Linked DNA regions of Rhinolophus ferrumequinum. The protein of the gene in region 2 interacts with the protein of the main gene of each other region in a pairwise test. Links are inferred from orthologs where the notes say so. Each region holds a gene or a part of one and is shown on either strand. Other genes may lie near its edges.

Region 1 (7,231 bases), on a different chromosome or scaffold from region 2:
GTTAAAAAAAAAAAGTCAACCCTAATGCAAACTATGAACTTTTGATAATTATGATAATTATGATGTTGATGTAGGTTCATCAGTTGTAACAAATGTACCACTTGGGTGGGGGTGCTGACAATGGGGGAGACTGTACGTGTGTGTGGGGGGTGGGTATTTGGGGAATGTCTCTACCCTCCTCTTAAGTTTTCTGTGAACCTAAAAGTGCTTTTTAAAAGTTACCTTTTTAAAAACAAGTTCTGAAGATGGATGGTGGTGATAGTTACCATTGTGAATATATACTTAACGACACTGAACTGTACACTTAAAAATGGTTAAAATGGTCAATTTTATGTCATGTATATTTTACAACAAAAAATAAAATTAAGTTAAATTAAAAATGGGCAAAGGACGTGAATAGACATTTCTGCAAAGAAGGTACACAAATGGCCATCAAGCACATGAAAAGCTGCTCCGCGTCATTAGTCATCAAGGAAATGCAAATCAAAACCACCGTGAGGTACAACCTCACACCCACTGTGCTGGTCATAAATTCTTTTTTTAAATGGAAATAACAAGTGTTGGGAAAGATATGAAGAAACGGAAACTCTCATACATTGCTGATGGGGATGTAAAATGGTGTAGCTGCTATTTCACCCCCAGGCAGATGCACAAAAGAATTGAAAACAGGTATTCAAACAAAACCGTGTACAGGAATACTCACGGCAGCATTATCCACAATAGTCAAAAGGTAGAAATAACCCAAATGCCCATCAACTGATGAATGGATAAACAAAAGGTCGTGCAGCCACATGACAGAATATTATTTGGCCAGAAAAAGGAACGAAGCACTGATACCTGCTACAACGTGGATGAACCTTGAAAACCTTATGCTCAGTGAGAGGAGCCAGACATAAAGGGACACATATCTTATGGTTCCAATTACATGAAATTTCGAGACTAGGCAAATCTATAGAGACAGAGAGCTGATTAGTGGTTGCCAGGGACTGGAAGGAGTGGGGACTGAGACTGCTAATAGGTATGGGGTTTATTTTAGGGGTTGCCAAAAAATGTCCTGGAAGTTTATAATGGTGATGGTTGCACAATATTTTGAATGTACTAAATGCCACTAAATTGTATATTTTGTGAATTATATCTCAGTTAAAAAAAAAAAGCAAATCAGGCATCTCATGTATGCCCTGTTAGGACACAGCAGGAGGGGGCCACACAGTGTCACACGAAATCTGTGACTATTCCTTTTCCTAGTGGAGACTTTGCAGCTGTGTTCTAACCCAAAACGCAGCTGCAAAGTCTCCACTAGGCCCAGGACGAGATCTGGGAAGTAGACACGCACGTGCCAATACACTGGAATCACATGGACCAGACAGAAAGGGAGAGACTTCGTCTGAGTGACACTTCCTCATTCAATTTCAGAAATAACAGCAGCCAAGAGAGCAAAACCAATTGCCTTAAAAAAAATGCAGAATATGATCCACTTTATGTTAAAAGAAAAAAATTCACACACACACACACACACACACACACACACACACACACACACACCTGGAAAAAATTCTTCACACTTTTTCAAGGATAAAGAACACTATAAATGGTTATCCCTGACTGATGGAAATTAGGAGTTTTTTCTCCTTTTGCTACTCTGAATTTTCTAACATTTTAAGAACTAACACCAACTGCCTAAAAAAGAAAACAAGTAATTTTCAAAAACAAAGAACCCAGTTGCCAGAAATAGCCTCCACTGACTGGTCTGTGTTATTTATAACCAGGAATTCTGGTAACTAATGTTTCCATAACACCTTTTCCATTTCCAAAAAACACATTTCCCACACGCATCACACAATTCATTCTCACAAAAGCCCTGTGCAGCAGAGAATTGGACTGCTGAGTTATGCAGATGGGGAAACTGAGGCCAGAGGCTTGCCCAAGGGTGCCTGACCCCCGCCCCATGCAAGATCCTGGCTCGCTGTTCTTCCAGGGCCCTGGCTCTGGATGCTTACGGACATAGAGACCTTGGTAGAGTCTCACTTGCCAGACGTAGCAAATAAAAACACAAGATACCCAGTTAAACTTGAATTTCAGCTAAACAGCAAGTGATTGTTTAGTATAACTATGTCCTAAATATTGCAGACTTGTAATACATCCCAAATATTACACAGGTCATACTGAAACTAAAAAAAAAATCACTCACTCATTGTTTGTCTAAAATTCCCATTTAACTGGGCATTTTCTATTCTATCTGGCAATGCCAGCTGCCTGGTCTTCTGGCCACGTCAGGAGGCCTGAGTCAATCCTTGGTCTCTGCTGTGGGCGATGGCAGCTGTAGCCAGGGCCCAGGGAGAGGCCCAGGTGAGCTTCCCGGGCCCCATAATTCCCTGGGTTAACCCTTCCCCTGGAGGTATGGAGACTATCCCAGAACTGTCTATGCCTCCGTCCTCACCAGGCCCACCCAGAAGCAGCTCTGGCCTGCCCAGGGCGAGGACCTGATTACCTGATTTATGGGGGCCCCATAAACCTCAGGGCAAATGTGTCCTCAGGAAGAGAGGCCTGCCCCACTCAGTAACAACACCCAGATGTCATGCTGCGTGCCTGCGTTTCTATTTAACAAGACATATGCCGGCTCAGGCAAAGGCTACAGAATGAGCCCCTAATACAGACTGATGATGGTGATGACGACGATGAAAGGACAGGACACACAAGCTGGGTCCCTACTGGGTGCCAGACCCTGGACAAGGCACTTTTCTATTATCTCCTTTTTCTCCTTACAAAAACCCTCCTGTTTTACGGATGGGGAAACTGAGGCCCAGAAAGGTTAAATAACAGGCTCCAAGTCACACAGCCCCTTGACGCCCTCAGCTGATATGCCCTGGGTGCCAGTACTGTTCCAAGAGCAAGGACCAGGGTAACAATGGGCAAATTCTTTACTTCCCTGGAGTTTATGTTCTGACTGGGAGCAAGGCTGAGAGATAATAAATCAAAAAGAAGTAGTACCCTGTGACGTTGCAATCATTGCTGGCTCTTTCTCGTTGCTGTCGCCTCCAGGAAACACATGTCTCCATGGCACAGAGAGCTTCATTCTCAGAGATCTATTCCACCTCCCTGGGCGGGGAGGGGGTGGTGGTGTGGGTGGAGCATGCATCCCAGAATCATGTTTATTTTACCAACAGTCACATGATGCTCCAGTCACACGATGCTTTCCCAACAACCCTGTGAGGTAAGTACTATATTTCCAGTTTTAAGATGTAGCAATTGAGGCCCAGAGAGGTTAAGCAAGGTGCCAAAGCTCACACAGCTAGTAATGGTAGCAGAGTCACTGAACCCAGGCTGCCTGGCTGCAAGTCCATATTTTGCTGCCATGCCGTGGAGATCTTCAAGCCTTCTAAATCACCCAGACCCGTATCTTTCGGGCTTTTGAACCTCAGAACCTTTCCCCTCAATGCAGCCTCTGTAGAGCCCCAACATACAAAACAGAAACAAGCAGTTCTGTGTGATTTGAAGCAAGCCCCCGTCTGAAAGGGAATAGTCTACCAATGTGTTTCAGCCCAGGCCAGGTCTCCACACAGGTTCCTCCTCTCGCTCAGGGCACCCACAAGGCCCTCTGTTTCTTACACCTTTGTCTCTCCAGGTGCCCCGGACATGGGAGCTACCTTCTCATGCAACTTTCAAAGGGACTTCCTTGTCTGGGGTTTTCTCCCAGGCGCACCCCTGCTGGGCTGTTTCTGTGTTTCCTGGAATTTGAACCTGAACACCAGTGTTTGTTCACCAGTTCTAGGTTGCCTGGCACCAGCTGCTGAACTTGGTTCAAGGCCTGTTTCTCTTCCAGCCAGAAGAAGGGCAGGCCCGGGGCTGCAAAGCAAGTCTGAGGAAGCCTGAATTGCCCAATGTCCAGAGGGTCTGATCAGGGCTTGGGGTGGGGAGTGGGGCAGTCAGGCTCCTTTGCTTTGAGGCAATGACTCTGAGTCTGGCACGAAGTCTACACCAAAGTCCCCTTCTTGGTTCCTTCCTGGTGGCAGGACCTCGGTCAGCCTCTCCTTCCAGACTCCCCTGTTTTCTCAGCTGTCCTGCCATCTCCTAGTGTGGCCATGACAACGAGATAAACTCCTGAGGAGAAGCAGCATGGCAGCATGCCTGGCACATAGTAAGGCTTCAGTTGTTCATAACTATTATTATTGTTGCGTTGCTGTTGTTTTTTAAGCTCCCCTTCCACGAAAAACAAAACCCCACAAGACCTATGAACGTGCGCCCATGTGTTTCTGGAATCACAGTTCTGATCTGTTAGCAGCAGTCACAGCTCTGTGATAAGAAAATCGTCCTACCAAGCAAATGTACTCATGGATCAAACCACCAAGCATCTCCCACCTGAGGTCCTAACTTGGTTTCCGCAGTCCAGAGAGGTGTCGCGATCCTCCCCGAAGCCTCTGTGACCACTCCACTCCACCCACAGGGGCCTCCCTGCTGATCCAGCACCGTCCTGCCTCAGGGTCTTTGCACTGGCCATTCCGCCTGACGGGACCACTGTCACCCCAGGTATCAGACATGGCTTCCTCCCTCCTTGGAGTCTTTGCTGAAATGCCGCCTTCTCAACCAGCCCCACCCTAACCACCTTCTCAGAGATGATAGCCCCCTCCCTCACCCTCTTGACACCACTCCCTGATTTTCTGTACCACTTGTCACCTTCTAATGAATGACAGTATGCTTGTTATTCCTTATCTGTGTCCCCAGCTACACTGTCAGTTCTGGGAAGTCAGGGCTCGTTGTCTGTTGCTCACAGATATGTCCCAGGTGCCCAGCAAAGGCCTGGCACATGAATAAAGAGAAGGCAGTCTGGGGGGAGGGGACAGAACCCTGACATTCCCTCCACTCCCGCTTCCTGCACCCCGGCCCCAAGGGTCCTGACCTGGGAGCATCATTAGGAGACCTTGTTATCTGGAGAGTTCCCCATCCCCACTCCCCCCCACACACACACACACACAAAGGTGAATTATGCTGCTTCCTCTTTCACCTACCCACCTTCTGGGATGAGGCTGTCTCCCCCTCAACCACTTCCCTGCGCCCCCTCTTCCACCCCGCTCTCCTTCTTGGGGGCACTGAAATGTGGAAGAAACACCTGGGAAACCCACCGGGGAAGAGGCCTCTAAGACTGCCTCTCCCTCCTCGCTTACACAGTCAGGGCCAAATGCTCATTACCAGGCCTCCTGCCTTCTGAACCAACAGCATGCTCTCTCTAAAACCATAATTTAAAAACAAAACTGTGATTACTCCAAGCCAAAGACAATAGATCATTTTTTTGGGTCCTTCTTAATAATAACAATAGCCATAATAAATGCGTAGCCAGGCTCTATCAGCGTGTATATGACTCATTTAATCCTCACAAGAACACTGTAAGGTAGACAGTGTTTGCCCCATTTTACAGATGAGGAAACTGAGACACAGAGTAGTTAAGTATCTTGCCCAAGGTCACACAGTGAGTGTGAAGCCAAGATCAGAATCCAGATAGGCTCTCTCTACAGTTAGTGTGCTTACCCATATTCTATCCTTTTAACCTGAGTAGGAATTATTATATAATCCCCATTTTAATAATGGTAAAGCAACCGAGACCCAAGGTTTTGCCGCTTGGAAGTGTCAGAATCGGCATTTGAACCTAAGACAGGACTGCAAATTAAGGGCCTATTCTCATTCACGTAGCTGCGGTCCCCATTCATGTACATATGCACATGGTGCACACTGACCAAGCTAGACAACACAAAAAGTCCCCGGGCAGAAAGGCCAGCGCTGTGGAAGAGCTTTGGCAAAGGGCTGAGGAACATCCCCACCTCTGAAGCCTTCGAGTAACAAAAAAGGAAGTGGAAGAGGAGAAAGGAGAAGTGAACCGGGGACCCGACTCATTTCTAAAACGCGCTGAAGTATTTCCCAGCATCGTAAGCAGGTTGAGAAACAAAGCAGAAATAAAGTCCTGTGTGGTCATCAGATGTAGGGTGCCCTGCTGGGGAGCAAAGGGTCCTTCTGTACCCCCAGAAGCACACCTTGAAGAACTCCTCCCTAGGCCATTCCCAGCAGCAATCAAGGTGTTTGAGAAGTGCCTGCTTTATTGCCAGGTTATCCTTGTACCTGAGCGGATGGGAGATCCCCCAGAACCTTGCTGCTGACAGCCCCATGGGGGGACAACACAAACAGCTATGCAGAAGAAGCTGACAAGTACACTGTGAAAAACCGCTCAGTAAGTCCCTCTGCCGCGGAAGGAGGAAGAAATAGCCGGTATGTCTGCAGATGGAAAGCAGGCTGCAAAATCCTCAAGGGCAAAGGGATGAGAAGTACAAATCGCCAGGTGTAGAACAGTCACGGGGATGTAACATATAGCACAGGAAATAGTAATACTGTCATAACGATGGAGGGTGTCAGGTGGGTACTAGACTTACCGGGGGATCACTTCGTAAGGTATATAAATGTCTGATCACTATGCTGTACACCTGAAACTAATATAATGTTGTTTGTCAACTGTAAGTGAAAAATAATTTTTTTTAAAAAAGCAGTAGCGAACAATCGAGATTGTATGTTAACATCTACAGCAGCGTTTCACTGAAGGTCACACCAAACATGAAACCATAGGATTGGGTTATGACCGGCTACCTTTGTTTGTAGATGGGCTGGGCTGGGCTGGGCTGGGCAGGAACGGAATGAAAATAGGAATAGAATAGGAATAGAACAGAACAGACAAACCCTGACTGCATTCCTTGTAAGTATCACTGCATAAAACTTCTGTTTAGTTATATGTCAGTGTCCGTGTGTCCTGGGTTACAACACAAAATCAATTTTTCACCGTGGCTTGGAGCTAAAAACGTTTGAAAACCCTTGATATGGAAAACATCTAAAAGAAAGAAAGGACCCAAACAGCCCAGGGAGGCTCCCTCTGAAGAAAAGGGGCAAGAACTTTACTTTATACAACTTTGTATTCTTTGGGTTTAAAACAAAACAAAACAAAACAAAAAAACAACAATGAGCATGTATGTATTGCGTTTACAATAAAATAAAGACCTTTTTAAACCTTTTAGAAAAAATAAACACCCCTGCCTTGTCTCCAGGAGAGAGGCTGTGCTTTCTGAGCTGTCAACAAGTTTTTGATGTGAAAAAGACCAAATCCTTGCCCCAGGGGCTCTGCCTCCCAGCGGGCTTCCAGGACTCCCTGGTTTGTTTCCACACGTCCTTCCCTTCCCCTCCAGAAAGTCACAGGATCATC
Region 2 (6,969 bases):
TGTGCGGCCATCGTCCTCGGGGCCCCAGCTGGCACTGTAGATGTGAATGTGCTGCGGCTGCAGGCTCAGCGACTGGGCCTCGATGACATCGGTGATGGTGCCATCCAGCATTCGCACGCCTGCACAGGTGGGTGTTGGGCCTCGGCGGACAGCCCCGCCTGCACCACAACCCATCCAGGCCAGCTCCAGCCACCCTGGCAGGGCCCTCTCCCCACCACCAGGGAGTCGTCTGTGCTGGGGGGGTGGCGCGCTCAGCTCTCCCCACCCTGAGTCTGGGGCCTCTGCATTGTCCAGTGGCAAGGGTGTGGCCGTGAGAGGCTTCCTCCCCTGGTTGATCTGCCAACTCTCCCTGGCATTGTCAGCCACCCAGCGCCACCCAGTCCAGCCTCTGTCCTGGCGCGCCTCTGTACCTCCAATTCGGGCATTGTAGGCGACGCCTATACCGCAGAACCTGTTGTTAGCAATGGCTGCCACTTCCCCAGCACAGCGGGTTCCATGCCTGGCCCCAAGGCAGAAAGGGGTTCCCGTCAAGGCCCCCTGATCCCCAAAGGGCACAAGGGCCACCCCCAGGCCCTATGGGATGCTGGGCTCACCGATTCTCCTCACTGGGTGTGTATCGTGGCTGGGGGTCCGGGTCATAGTCGTTAAAGTCATAGCTGGCCAAGGGGTCCTGGGGGTGGGGTGGGGATGTGAAGGGGGTGGGGTAGTCTGTGGGACAGAGGCAGACCCCCCTTCCCAACCTGTCCCTCCAGGGGCTCACGTAGTTGGCCCAGAGATCCGGGTGGTCCTTCTCGATGCCGTCATCCAGGATGGAGACCACGATGCCCTGGCCTGACAACCCCTGGCTCCAGACCTGCAGGATGTTCAGGTCCGGCTGGACCTGGTTGTTCTGTGCCAAGTGGGGCTGGAGTCAGTGGGGATCCAGCACAACCCCAACCAATCGCCTGGCCCAGCCCGCTTACCATATACCACTGCTTGGAGAACCAGGGGTCCGTGGGCACCATTAAGGAGCGCTTCACCCGCCACCGCAGCGTCTGCTGCTCAAACCACTGCACCTGAAGGGGGACACACGCCAAGGCAGGGGCTGGACCCATCTATCTTGCCTTACACCCATGCACTTTAGAGGGTCCTGTCCCACGGACCAAGAGGACATGCCCCTCTGAGCCCTTCCTGCCAATTCCTAGTCAAAAGGCTTGTGTCTAGGGTCTGCCCGGGCTGCTTCCCAGGGTCTGCTAAGGAGCAATTGTCAATGGGGCTGTGGTTGGTGTGGGACGTGTGTCTGGGTTGCGACTGCTTGTCCTGGGACTTTGTGTTTGCTGGGGCTGATCTTCAGGGTCCCCATGTGCCTGGGGCTCTGTCTTCAGAGGGGGCCAAGGCCCTTGGAGCCCCCATTCCCAGGGCCCACGGACACATGGCCACTTCCCAGGGACCTGTCCTCTCCCCTGCAGTGGCCAGTTCTCTCTACCACCCCCGTTACCGTGCAGGACACCCTTGCATACCCACTTCCTCCCTGGTCCTCCAGCTGTACCCCTGCCTCAATAAACCACTCTTAGCACACAGCAGCAGTGCTTTCTGTCAAAATCCTCCCGTGGCTCCCTACCGCCCTCTCCAGGGCCCACAATGCCCTTCCTATCTGTCCCCCACCAGCCTCTCTACGCTGCTGCCACAGTGGCTGCCCCACCTGGGCCTTTGCACATATTGTTCTGCCTCCCTGGGGCTGCTGCTCCTCCTTTCTTGTTGATCTCCCACCTGCCCCTCAAACCGATTCCTGTCTCCCCCACCCCCATCTAAGCAATCAGGGCCATCATCTCCCCATTTGCTCTGCTCCAATCTTGGGAGCTGGCCCTGATTTCTCTCCCTCAGTCACATGCACCTAATCCATCGGCAAGCCCGGCCTCTCTCTTGCAAATATCTCCAAGTGGCCACTTCTCTCTGTAGCCAGTTCTCCGGGTGGGTTTCGAACAGTCAAGCTTCTTGCCTCCTTGCTGATCAGCCCCCCAACCCAGCCCATACCTCTTTGTGGCTCCCAAGGACTTGCTAGACTCAGTTTCAAATCCTCAGCTTGGCTTCTAAGGCCTTTTCCCTATCTGTCATCTTTCTGAGCATCTGGAGACCCGGTTCTGGTGCCAATTCAGTCACAGCCTTATTGAGTGACTTCAGACAGGATTCCTCCTCTTTGGAATTGTTCCTTCCATCACAAAACTGGCCAATTCCCCCTCGTCTACCCCATGAGCTAGCATGTTATCTGCCTCTCTTTATGGGGCACCTTGATCTGTCAGGATGAAACAAAGGAGGGAGGGAGGGAGCGTGGGGGGCAGGGGTTTGCAACAAGAATTATATTTTGTGCCAGGCCCTGGGGTGAGCACCGAGCCCATGCTTAATCATTTGCTTTCCACAGATGTTCCCCATCTGAATCCCCACTGTATAGACTGGGGGGCCAGGTGGAGACCATGACTCAGAGCAGGTAACTTGTGAAAGGTCACAGCCATTCATAACAATCACAAGAATAACAGGAGGTGGCTGAGACCACAAGTGGGCAGCCCCGAAGCCAGGCTCACCTTGGGGTCTTTCTTCAGGCGCAGGCGGTGGCCCCAGTGCGGGGTCAGGGACTGCTGGACCACGCCCCGGTGCCGCAGGTGGAAGTAGCGCCCATCTGGGAAGATCTGAGAATGTGGGGGAGCAGTAGCTTCGCTAGGGCCGGCTCCCCGATGGAGCCCCCGCAGGACAGGGACCAGCCCCTTTGCTTGCTTCCTCCCCCAACCAGGTGGCCACTTGGAGGCTATGAGTGCCCTCTGCGGGTCCTAGAATCTGAAGTTGGTCGAAGAAGGGATGGACTGGAGGTTCTTGAGGGTACCTGGGGGCCCCCCCCCTCCTGTCAGTCGGGGCCTGGGGTCTTGGGTTGTCTCGCCCCCGCCCCCTTCCCGTCCATCCGGATCCCACCCACCTGTCCCAGGTTGACGAAGCCGAATTTGCGGGCTAAGCGCTCGGCCTCCCGGTAACCCTGGGACACTCGCACGGCCCAGCTGCTGACATAGATGGGGACCCGGGCCGAAGCCCACCCCACAGCCAGGAAACAAACGAGGACCAGGCTCAGGGTCAAAGCCAGGCGCAACCAGAGAACAGTCCAGGCGGGCCGCATGGCGATGGGGGCGGGGTCGGGGTCTACAAATATCCCTCCCCCTGGCCAAACCGCCGAATTGGTCCAAGAGCCCGCCCCGCCCCCGGCGCCATAGCAACCCCTGAAAGGCTTCAACTCCCAGGGGGCCTTGCGGCTCCCCATTCAGGGGCTCAAGGATCCGACAGAAATGGGCGGGGGAACACACGCTTTCCCTGGTCTTTTGCAGACCCAAACCCTCTGGAGTCTCCCCATTTGTACAATAACCCAATTCTTCCGACCCAGAGGAGCGGGTTCACTGTTACTATGATTGACCCGCCCCTTTATTTAGCCCCGCCCGCTTTTCTACATACTCCTCCCACTAAAACAATATCAGCCCTGCCTCCTCTCCAGCCCAACCAGAATCGTTCTTTCGAGTAAGTCCCGCCTCTTCAATTTAGCTCCGCCCTTCAGATTCCGTCCCGCCTCCTTTATGACCAGCCCCGCCCCTCCTCTGATTCTTGCCAATGAATCTCTTCCCGTTTCTCCAATCAGCTCGGGCTTTTCTCAGGCCCCACCCACCAGTTCCGCCCACCCCAGCACGCTTCGCTCCTCCCCAGCTCCACCCACACAAAGGCTCAGCCAATAATCCAAGGCTATGACCCCGCCCCTCCAATCAGCTACGTCCCTCTCCCGCTCGGCCAATTGGCGCCCTCGGCCGTCGCGCCCTGCCTCCTACCTCTGGAGTCGCGGCTGCGGCGGCCGCGGCGGGCCAGAGGGCAATGCGACGGGGGAGAAGGGGCAGGCCCCACCTCCTTTGTCCGCCCTGCCCTCCCATTGGCCGGTGCGAGGGTCAGGGGGTGGAGACCAGCCCCGGGGCGGAGACCAGCCCCGGGGCTGAGCGGTGCGGCTCGCTTCGGGGGAAGACAGCGCGCGCTCCGCAGGGTCGGTGCGCCGGGCTGCGGTCGAGCTCGGGTTGCCAGCCCCGGGACGGCCGGTACCATGGACGGCCTGCGCCAGCGCTTCGAGCGCCTTCTGGAACAGAGGAACTTGGCCACCGAAGCGCTAGAGGTGCTCGAAGCCAAGACCGGTGTCGACAAGCGGTACTTGGCCGCGGGTGAGCCGTCGGGGGCGCTCGGGGCCGCCGCCCCATTTCACCGATGGGCACACTGAGGCAACCCTGGGCACCCTGGGGCAACCGGGCCTCAGACCTGCCCCACTCCAGCTGGCCCAAGCTGCGGGGTCCGGACTGGACGGCGGGGCGTGCCCCGCTGTACCGCGGGGGGTAGACCTAGATCATGGCGGGGGAGGGGTCGTAGATCTGGACCACGGTGTGCTACAGGTCCTCTCCTGCCCCCGCCGTGCGACCTCAGGCGAGAGCCCCCCCTTTCTCAGCCCCCGCAGCACGCCCATTCTGGCCCTCGGGTCTGGAGGCCCGTCCTCTGCCCCCTCCCTCAGGGCTTTGGGTGCCTGCCAGGCCGAAGTCCGGTTCTTCCAGTTGCCCTGCCGTCCCCCGGGGAGAAGGGGGCAGGAAGGCAGCCAGTGCCCTGAGTCTGGCCACCCCTGTCCCTGATGGACCCCAGCCTGAAAGCAAGTGTAGAGATCTCGGTTTTCCGAAGGGATGCCCCCTGCCAGGAGGGAAAGGTCACGTCCACCTTCCCTCCCATTGTTTTCCTGCTAGTACCCTCCTTGGCCTGCCCTCTCCCCTGGTGGCCCAAGGGCTTTGACCCACTCTGCGTGAATAGTTGAGTTGAATAGTTGAGTTGGAGTTCGGTTGTTTGACAGCTGTGTTCATTTTGGAGAAAGCTTGGATGGGGACCCAGGAAGAAGGGGGTCCAGCCACATCTGACTGTAACTTCCATTCCAGTCCCTCCTCTTCCTTTCCTCCTCAATGGCCTGGTGTGGCTCCTGCCACTTTCTAAAACTGTCCAGTAAACACCCATTAAATGCCTTCCTTCCCTGTTTTGCAGTGTACCAGTCCCACCCACTTTGTCACCTCTCCCAGGAAACCCCCCTGGAATGAATCAAAGATGCTGGGGTGGGAGTGGTGGGGAAGGCTTTAAGTGAGGACAATGACAGATGTTTTGAGCACCTTCCATTTGTAGATCCTGGGAATCCACTTTCATCCCATTTCCCCATCAATCAGGGCATCCCCATGCCAAGCAGCTCAAGGAAGATTCGATATCTGTCCCCCCCAGATTCCTAGTGCCAAACCCATGTCAGCTCAGCCGAGGACTTGCCCCTGGGAGCCAGCCATTGACCTCCTGCCTGGCTTTCCACATCCCTGCTACCAATGGGTGGGGGATTTAGGTCACAGTGCACTGGGGAGGGGCCCACCAGGGAGGCTAGTGGTTACAGGGAGGAAACTAAGGCCCAGAGAGGCAGGGGCTGTTGGGAGGTTGCCCCTACCACCTGACCTGACTGGAATATCCACCCCTCCCCCGACCCCTCCTACCCTGAGCCCCATCTGTTGCTGATCTCAGGTTGTGCCCCCGCCAAGTCCAAGGTCATCCTCCCATTGCTGAGGCTGCAGGAATAGGGATTGAGGGGAGGGGTGCCCTGGGAGAGCCGCTGCTCCCCCTCTAGTGATTTCTAGAGAAGGGGTGACATTTCCCCACCCCCTCACCCACATGTGGGAACCCTTGGACCCCACCTGCCCCAAATGGCCAAATCCCCCTTCCCAAGTAATAGGAAACCCAGAGGCGCCAGCTGGGGAGGACCCCCTCCCACTCCTGACCCCAGACTGCGATAGATACTAATGCAGGTGGAGGGAAGGGTGTGGGTGACTCTGCCCTTTGGTCCATGAGTGGCCTCTCTCTCTCTCTCTCTCTCTCTGTCTCTCTCTCTCTGTCTCTCTCTCTCTCTCTTTGCAGATAACAGCCTCAGGGGAAGAGGCGGGAGGCTGTAAATGCTCCCAAATGACCCTGGGCAAGTTCCTCTCGCCCTGCTTCCTTCTCTCATTGCCTGAGACAGAACAGGGAAGCACAGAGCCCCATACATAAGAAGTACTTAATAAATGTGACAGTTACCATTGTTTTCAGAGTGACTAGTGCTCCTGGCTGCCCCCACTCCCACACTATTCTCCTCTGAGCCTTATTGGTGTTTCTGTGACCAGAGGCCCTCAGTAATGTGTGGAAAGGACGAGTCTTCTGTGTTGAATGTATTTAGCTAAACCCACAACCCTAAGAGGCAGGGCCACTACCACCCCATTGACAGATGGGGAAACTGAGTCTCCAAGCTCAGTGTCACATGGTAAGTGAGTGGAGGAGCAGAGGGCTCTCCAAGGTCTGGGGGCTCTAGACTGCCCTTTGCTGCCTCCCACTAAGACAAGGGGTCTCAAACGGGACCATGCGCTACCTCAGGACACTTGGCAGTGTCTGGTGACATTTCCGGTTGTCACAATTAGGGGGTTCTCCTGGCATCAAGTGGGCATCAAGTGGGACCCAGAGTGAGGTGATTATAATTGCAGATGATCACTTATTCATTCAACAAACATTGAGTGGGCAGCTACTCTGTACCCACCAGGGCGGAGCTCCCCACTTACCTTTGGGGACCTCGCAGTCCCATGCGGGAGATGGATCTGTTAACTGATTATAGACATAAGACTCAGGGCTCAGGGCCACAGAGGAGTCACCCAGGAGTTGCAGGGGAATGTGTCCTGGAGGGGTCGCTGAGTCTTGTAGGGAGAGTAACAATGGTGGACTGTATCTGCCAGGCCAAGAGGAGGCCCAGGGGCTTGTGGGCCAGGCACGGAGTGAGCCAGACTCCCACCCACGCCCTCTTTTCTGCAGGAGCCGCCACTCTGCTAAGCCTGTATCTTCTGTTCGGTTACGGGGCGTCTCTACTGTGCAATCTCATTGGCTTTGTGTACCCCG

Evidence for each region.
Region 1: the proteins of REEP6 (region 2) and LITAF interact in binary tests that used the Homo sapiens proteins (3 or more experiments, as listed by UniProt). The two-hybrid records come from large-scale screens. The link is inferred for Rhinolophus ferrumequinum from reciprocal best matches to the Homo sapiens genes REEP6 and LITAF.

What each region holds. Positions count from the first base shown.
Region 1 is NW_022680357.1:10,966,835-10,974,065, forward strand, and holds the start of LITAF (lipopolysaccharide-induced tumor necrosis factor-alpha factor), read right to left. Parts: upstream 3,010-7,231; 5' UTR 3,008-3,009; coding exon 2,989-3,007; intron 1-2,988.
Region 2 is NC_046301.1:61,580,587-61,587,555, reverse strand, and holds the start of REEP6 (receptor expression-enhancing protein 6), read left to right. Parts: upstream 1-3,969; 5' UTR 3,970-4,096; coding exon 4,097-4,211; intron 4,212-6,885; coding exon 6,886-6,969. UniProt on the Homo sapiens protein: Required for correct function and survival of retinal photoreceptors. Required for retinal development.